Oryzias latipes: one gene and its partner. The protein of the gene in region 1 purifies or fractionates together with the protein of each later gene. This does not show direct contact. Links are inferred from orthologs where the notes say so. Each region holds a gene or a part of one and is shown in the gene's direction. Other genes may lie near its edges.

Evidence for each region.
Region 2: the proteins of irf2 (region 1) and interferon regulatory factor 2-binding protein-like B purify together in Homo sapiens (affinity purification with mass spectrometry; 3 studies listed by BioGRID and IntAct, counting the BioPlex papers as one, with this or other methods). This does not show direct contact. The link is inferred for Oryzias latipes from reciprocal best matches to the Homo sapiens genes IRF2 and IRF2BPL.

The regions. Positions count from the first base shown.
Region 1 is NC_019868.2:24,522,025-24,525,936, reverse strand, and holds the start of irf2 (interferon regulatory factor 2), read left to right. Parts: upstream 1-1,472; 5' UTR 1,473-1,832; intron 1,833-1,847; exon of another isoform or gene 1,848-2,670; intron 2,671-3,912. UniProt on the Homo sapiens protein: Specifically binds to the upstream regulatory region of type I IFN and IFN-inducible MHC class I genes (the interferon consensus sequence (ICS)) and represses those genes. Also acts as an activator for several genes including H4 and IL7.
Region 2 is NC_019880.2:2,455,608-2,459,519, reverse strand, and holds the start of interferon regulatory factor 2-binding protein-like B, read left to right. Parts: upstream 1-1,588; 5' UTR 1,589-1,872; coding exon 1,873-3,912. Other genes in the region: kiaa0586 (protein TALPID3), read left to right, coding at 1-78, 166-268, 735-849. UniProt on the Homo sapiens protein: Probable E3 ubiquitin protein ligase involved in the proteasome-mediated ubiquitin-dependent degradation of target proteins. Through the degradation of CTNNB1, functions downstream of FOXF2 to negatively regulate the Wnt signaling pathway.

The DNA.
Region 1 (3,912 bases):
TAACGTACAAACGATCCCGAGTGAAACGTTCATTGTAAATCTCATGACCAGTACAGAGTTCGATGGATTCTATGTCAACTGCATTCAACCACTGTTGCCTTGCTCCCAGGTCCACTGAAAAGTTGCGCAAGCCAGTAAATTTTGACAACCGAAGGCAATAAACCGACAAGCCATGCTAAAGCTAACACGCTAACGACCGACTGGTACAGAATCAAACATGGGCGGGGCTTTTGACACCTGCAGAAAGCGTAGAGAAAGTGTAAGGGGCCATTCGATTGGCTAAAAGCGAACCCGCCTGCTTTGCCGATGAGTTTGATTGACAGATTCACTAGCCAATGGTGAGATTAGTCGACCCGCTCCGTCAGATGAGTCTCAATATTCACCGTAGAAAAATCTCTCACACACACGGGGAGATTCACAAACGAGAACGGGATTTTGAATGCACAGTCTGCAGTTCGAATGATCTGTGAGTTCACATCACATGTGTACCTAAAAATCACGTTTGTGAAGCACCTACTGTGCATTTCTGATACATTTATTGTGAATTTCTAAAATGTTTTTGTGAAAAACAGTGTGCACATTTGTGAGAAACACTTATTGTGCATTTGTAAAACATTTAGTGTGCATTTGTGAAACACAATGTGTGTGTTTGTGAAACACAGGGTGTGTATTTCCGAATTTATTTTTCACGTTTGCATAAAATGACATTTGTGAATCGGAGCGTGTGTATTTGTAAAACCGGTTGTGTGCATTTCTGATTATTGAGACTGAAATAACTCCATATGTAACAAATATGTGAATGAAGAAGCATGCTTAGACAATTAATATCTTCCAACAAAATGCAACAGTCAGTGTAAAATGAAGACTTAAATCAAGACATACACAAAAAAAAAAACATTGCAAAAGGGATAATCTGGGGCCCTTTAAACTGAAGTTGAATTGCACTAGTAGCTCTAAAACAAACTGTTTCCCCCATAAACTGCAGGTGCTTAAATCTTGCACGCATGTGTGCGCTTGTGTGAAGTTTCTGGTTTCGTTTCTGGCAGAAAAAGAGTTGAAAGAAAAAGCTTTGATGAGGAGGGGAGGGGGGATAGGAAGTGAAAATGAAATACAACTCAAAGATCGTCTATTGCCACGAAGAGAGTGTCGGGGCGGGTGTCATTTTTAAACATTTTTGTCTTTTTTATTTTATTTTAAGTCTTGATAGAATCTTAGATAAATTGTTATTATTTGAAAAAAAGAATTGATGTAATAATTGAACATTACTATAGTTGAATTTTGTAACCCGGAGCTTTTTTATTTTAATAAATAAATATATATATTTTTAAGAGTACTTAAAATGCAGCTTAACCCCCCAAGCCCACCGCCCTGATGTTCACCTTTCACTGTTATAGCGATGAGATTGATGTTGACGACTGCAGGAAAAATGATCAGAGTGAGATGTCTCAGCGTCATCTTTCTCAGGAGGAGCGCTCACCAGAGCGATGACGCCGCCCGGGACCGATCCAAAACGAGAGCAGGCGAGCTGAAGGGGGATTTCCATCTCGAACCTTCACTTCCCGAGGCGGCAGTTGTTTTGCTTTCGGTCTGGGTGCAGAAAAAAAAGAAAAAGAAAAACGTCGGCCACCTAATCCCCCCCCCTGCTTCACTCCTGGAACGACTTTTCTCCAACTTCGGCGGGGTCCTTTCCCCCCCTGTATTTCGTCCGCGGCGGTGTGAATCGGCTGGCCGTCCGAAGCCAAAAGGTAACATTTTATTTCCGCATATTAACGGCGCTGCCTTCACGGCGCACACCGACTCCCCACCGGACGACATGACAGAGCCGTAGCTGTGTAAGTGAAAGTAGTCTCCTGTAGTTTTCTGACGGTTTGTTGTTAGTTTTGGATTTATTTTCGCTTTTGGGTCAGCACGTTGGTGGTAGACGCGGCTGGTAAATATTGACCTCACCGCTAAACCAAACTTGTAAAAATATGTTTATAACTTTCTTTCCCGGAAGAGTTTTGTTGGCGTGGGTTTTCTTTAGCTAAACGTTGTTTTGCTAATTAGCTAAAAAAAAAAAAAGATATGCTAGGTGGAATACTTTAAAACTTTTTAAAGTATTTTGTTCTAAATTGAGCTGATTTTTACGATCTGATTTGTTGAAAACCTTTTTATTAAATTTAAACACTAAAAGTTCCAATTTATATTTCTTAAAACCTAAGCTAGCTATGTACTACATCCATATGTAAACTGGACTAAATTACCTAAAAAAAATAAAGAAAATGACGACTTTTTCGTGTTTATAACAATTTAACTAACACAAACACATTATTAAACAATGTCAACATGATTTATATTGAGTTTTTTTCTTTTAAAACAATGTAAATTGTTCCTAAAGTGACGTTAGGTATCGAGCACTGGGGGGGTCATACGGTGCATTCGAAGGCGGATGCATTGCAGGTGGAAGTTTGAGGCCTTTTTGGTCTTGAGACTGACAGAGAAGAGCCGAACCGTGGTGGCGTCACCCTGTTTGACCTGTTCGGGAGCTCATTGTTGCAACGAGGCAGCGTGTTGGCAGCACACTAACTAACGTGCAGCAGGGCAGGGAGGGAGTGTCAGGCCCACCGGACTTTGATCAGATCAGACTGCAGGGATCACAACCCCTCTCTCTTTTATGTTAAATCTAGCGTGGTGAGTTTGACTCTGCAGGCTTCATTATACTTTAACTTCTGCCTGATTTAACAGAAAATCCTCTCGTTGCTTGTTTTTTTTTTTAACCATACAAAGATGGATTTCAAGGCAAATATTTGATGGCATTTGTTTTTTTTTCAACCTGCAATTGAATAGCAATAGCCTTATCTTTATTACACATGGTTTACAGATTTAACTCCTTTTGTTTTGTCCACAAATGATTGTTCCTGTGAAAAGTGACTTGAAGTGGTTGGTTCCTCTTGGGTTAAAAGCAGACCTCACTAGTATTTGTTCACTTTAAATATGTTTAAAGTAATGTTATCAGGCACTATTTTTAGAGTTTGCGTCCATACAAAAAACCCGACTTGTTTTATGGGAAGATTAGAGTTTAAAACGATGTTATTGAAAACCAAAAGCCTTACAGTGAAGTTTCATGTTTCAGCTTTTCATTTTTTTAAAACCTTCTTGTACAGTTTCTAACCGGGAGCCCACACGTGTTAGATAAGCTCACGCATTTCGTTCACATGTCAAAGGAAGTTAGTTGCCAAATCGTAGTAATTTTTTTCTGCGTTTGCGCATCTTTAAAAAAACAAACAAAAAAATCCCCAAAAGGTAAGTCAAGTCGGTCCAGGTTTGCTGCAGCCCACATTTGCTTGTTTGTAATGTGTAAATAAAAGATGTGAATCTTTAAAGCCTCTTAGTGCTTTAGAGCTTCTCGGGAAGGGGTTTGCATTTCAATCAGGAATCTACATCCTGTTACTGTTAAAAATGGTTTCAAGGCTCTGTCTTTCAAGCCGAGCATTTGTATCGCTGTCTTGCAGCTGAGTGTTCTTGTCTTTTCTCTAGCACATCTTAAAAGTACCAGCTGATGTTTAACTGTTGTTGCAGCTGCATGTGGAGCAGCGGACAGCGTTTTTGAGGGCCACTTTTAGAGAACAGAGGCATTGTCATTGGCAAATTTGTCCTTTCCAGACCCACTCCCGTGGAAAAAGGTGTTTTTAGTGTTTCAACACGTTCTTGTTGCCTTTTTCTGATGGTTAAGGACATATATGAAGAAAATTATGCTCAAACTTGCATTTCTGTGCATTTCTTTATTCAAATCGTTGTGAAACAGGAGCAGATGAAAAAATGGTGTTTGAAGGCCACAAGCTCCATTCCAATGCATCTACTTGTAGATGACTAGATCCATGTTGTTTTCCTTGGCTGAGCTGGAATCTGGATCAAAACTGTACGGATGGATAG
Region 2 (3,912 bases), on another chromosome or scaffold:
GGTGGCATGGGGCGGAGCCTGAACCAGCAGACTCTGCAGCACCTGGACGCTCTGCAGCAGCAGCAGCTGCGGCTACAGGTAAACTCACCTGTCGGAGGTCTGAATCTCCGTCTCGCCGCCATCTCGCTGCCGCTCATCAGCTTTTCCCCGTTGTCCTCCAATCAGGGCCAACTGCTGGAGTCAGCACTCAAGATAGTGACAGGCCACGCCCCCGTGACCTCCGATGTCACACCTTCAGCCCGCCCACAGAGTCTCCAGGTTACAGAAGGTAAAACACACCTGACGTTTTGTCATGCGTGACAACTGAGAGGCTAAACTCAGCCAGCAGGGGGCGCTTCCTTATTGAGTAAAGAACAGATGTTTGTCTACATTTTCTTAGGTAAACACCTAAAATGCTTATGATAGAATAGAATAGATCTTTATTTGTTATTGTCTCAGGTACAGTGACATTAAAAGATGTGAAGGTAGGCCAGCGGTTATGAGCAGCCAGCAGGGGGCAGCATTGCCAAGCTGATCTCCTGTATGGGAAGTGTTAAGGTTTCCATGGGAACCACTATGTTTGCAGATCTGAGCTAAAAATAGCTTTTATGTTGAGTGCACGTGTGCATATCACAGAATAAAAGCCACAAATCTCTGACGTCCAGAAGACTTCTTCTCAAAGGGGAAACCTTCTGATGAAGATCTTCGGCGTATTCCTGATTGATATCGTCTTCTCATCTCCTCCTCCTCCTCAGTGGATGCCGTCTGCAGCCGGCAGCACGGACGTCTCCCTGTCATCACCGCAGCCGCTGGAACTGCCCCCGTTACTATGGAAACGCGCCACCGTGACTGCAGGCATCAGCTATCCAGGTGAAGGAAGACGGGTTTGGGGAGGTTCTGCCACACACACGGTTGTTGTTGTTGTAGGAGGCGAGGAGGACGGATTCACGCAGCTCTGCTGCTACAGTGCCGCCTCCATCCATGAAGGACCGTCGGCGGCCAATCAGCTGGTTAAACCTGCAGCAGATGCTGACCTTTGACTTAACCGTAGAATCCAACCACAACCCTCCCTAATGTCAGAGGATGATCCACTAAAGCTGCTGAGGTGGTTGTTTAGGAGGAAAAAAAATAGGATGTGATTTCAGCGGGAAACCTTCAGGGTTCTTTGTAGATCTGTTCTAAAAACGAAGACCCGTCAAGGTTTGTCTTGAGCTTCGCTGCCGGTCGGCGTGTGCACCAGCTGCAGCCGACCGACGTCTCTTCCTGTCGTGACATTGGCGGCTGCAGCTCAAACGTGCCTTGATGTCCTTCACCTGCGTTTCCATGACAACAGGGAGACATCACAGCATCCCTTCTGCTTGTTTTTTTTTTTTTTTTTTTTTTAAGCATTTGTTCACAAAAGGATGGAATAAATAAAGATGCAAATGTGGAAGCTTTTAGCTCTGAGACGATGCAAAGACCAGCATGCATCAGCTCCATGTTGTGGACGGTTCTCGCCTCTCAGAAATATCTGAGGACGATGATCCCCGGCGGGAGTTAAAGCATAAATCACCCCTGCCTGCAGCAATTTAAACCAACGTGCTTCTGCAAAGTTTCCGCCTTTTTGCCCCTAACAAAAATCCAGTTTGCACAAACGGAGCTCGATGTCTGACTCCAGAGGTTCTGCTCCGACGACGTTCCGACACGCCTGAGCTGCAGCTCAACCAGCCACTGTCTGACACGCCAGCATCCGTCCAGCTTTGTGTCGGCCGTGACCTTCACCAGCACTGCTCATCTGTTTCAGACGCTGCTCACTGATCTGTCAAAAACAGCAGGGTTTACCCCCCAACCCCACCCACACACCCACCCATTTGTTTCGTTCAGACATGCAACAATTCAGAGGATGAAGAGCTGATGAGGAGGAAGGCCAGCAAAGGGATCTTTGCCAGGTGCATCTGTGGGGGTGCTGCAACCAAATTCCTCATCTTGGCTGGTGGATGTGGGGGGGGGGGGGGGGGGGACCCCCTCCCCCACCACCTCTGCAGCAGGAGGAGGAACAATAACCTGAGAGGAGCCGCGGCAGACCGCCAGTCCTCCTCTCTGCGCAGGAGCAGCTCAGCGGAGAGGCCGTGCGGGAGTATGTCCTCCCCACAGCTCTCCTCGTCCCGCAGGCAGTCATGCTACCTGTGCGACCTGCCCCGCATGCCCTGGGCCATGATCTGGGACTTCACCGAGCCCGTGTGTCGCGGATGCGTCAACTACGAGGGAGCGGACCGGATCGAGTTCGTCATCGAGACCACCCGCCACCTGAAGCGGGCGCAGGGCTTCCAGGACGGCCGTCCGTCCTCGGCGCTCCCCGGCGCGGCGAAGGCTCAGGCGGCTGTGCTGCCCGCCAAGGAGACGGACGGAGCGGGGAAGTCCCTGCAGCCGGGTCTGGACCGGTACTCGGGGGGAGCGGAGACCCGCTCTCGCTTTGACTACAGCTGCGGAACCAGGCAGGCCAACGGATATGTTGGACCGAACGGGTACAAAGCGGACGAGGGTCCTCCGGACCTAAACCGGCAGAGCCCGAACGCCCGCACGAGGAGCAGCGGGGGCCCGGTGTCAGCGGCGGCGCAGACCAACGTTCCCCCGAACCTGCTGCCGCAGACGCTGCTCGGTGGACCGCCAGTCCCGCACGGCCTGGTCGGAAGAGTGGCCCCGCAGAACTCCATGGTCGCCGCCTCCATGTCCGTGCAAACTGGGCTGCCAGAGCCGGGGGGGCGGCGGCCTGCCTCGGTCTCCAGCACGGACCAGGAGCGGGAGGCGAAGGAGAAGCAGCGGAGCGCCGAGGCCCTGGTGGAGCTGAGCGAGAGCCTCCGGAACCGGCAGGAGGAGTGGGCGAGCCGACCCAAGGCGGTGCGGGAGACGCTGCTGGCGCTGTCCGCCTCCACGCCGTTCGACGTCCGCTTCAAGAAGGACCACGGCCTGGTCGGGAGGGTCTTCGCCTTCGACGCCGCGTCCAAAACTGGCGCGGAGTTCGAGCTGAAGATCTTCATCGAGTACCCGAGCGGCTCCGGGGCCGTCTTCTCCAGCGCCTCCGGAGTGGCCAAGCAGATGTACCAGGACTGCATGAAGGACTTCGGTCGGGGCCTCTCCTCCGGGTTCAAGTACCTGGAGTACGAGAAGAAGCACGGATCCGGGGACTGGCGCCTGCTCGGGGACCTGTTACCGGAGTCCCTGCGGTTCTTTAAGGAGGCGGTTGGGGAGGACATGCTGCCGCAGGCGCACACCGACACCAGCTTCCCGCTGCTGCCCACCTCCCTGCTGCTCCCGGGCCGGGCGCTGGGCTCCGGCGGCGGCAGGCCGGGCGGCAGGAAGAGGAAGGCCTCCCCGGAGCCGGACTCGGCGGACGGCGGCGTGAAGCTCGCGGAGGAGCAGCAGAGGCAGCAGTGGGCTCCCGCGGGCTCCTTCGGCGGGACTCCCCCCGCGCTCGCCCCGGGGCTCTGCTCCGGCCGCAGCACGCCTCCAGAGGCGCCTCCGCGGAACGGGCCGTCCCCGATGGCGGCGGACGCGCTGGGGAACCCGTACTCTCCCAATAAGGACAGGGACTCCGTTCACTCCACCTCCTCCAGACAGAACAGCAGCCCGGTGTCCCCCGCCTCCCTGAGCGGCCAGCGGCGCCTCCCTTCACGAAACGGAGACCTGCAGTCCGCGGGGGGCTCGGACCAGGCGCACCCTCCCAACGTGCCGGACTCCCCGGTGGCCAACAGCGGGCCCCTGTGCTGCACCATCTGCCACGAACGCTTGGAGGACACGCACTTCGTCCAGTGTCCCTCGGTCCCCGTCCACAAGTTCTGCTTCCCCTGCTCCAGAGAGAGCATCAAGGCCCAGGGCGCCTCCGGTGAGGTGTACTGCCCCAGCGGGGAGAAGTGCCCCCTCCTGGGCTCCAACGTGCCCTGGGCCTTCATGCAG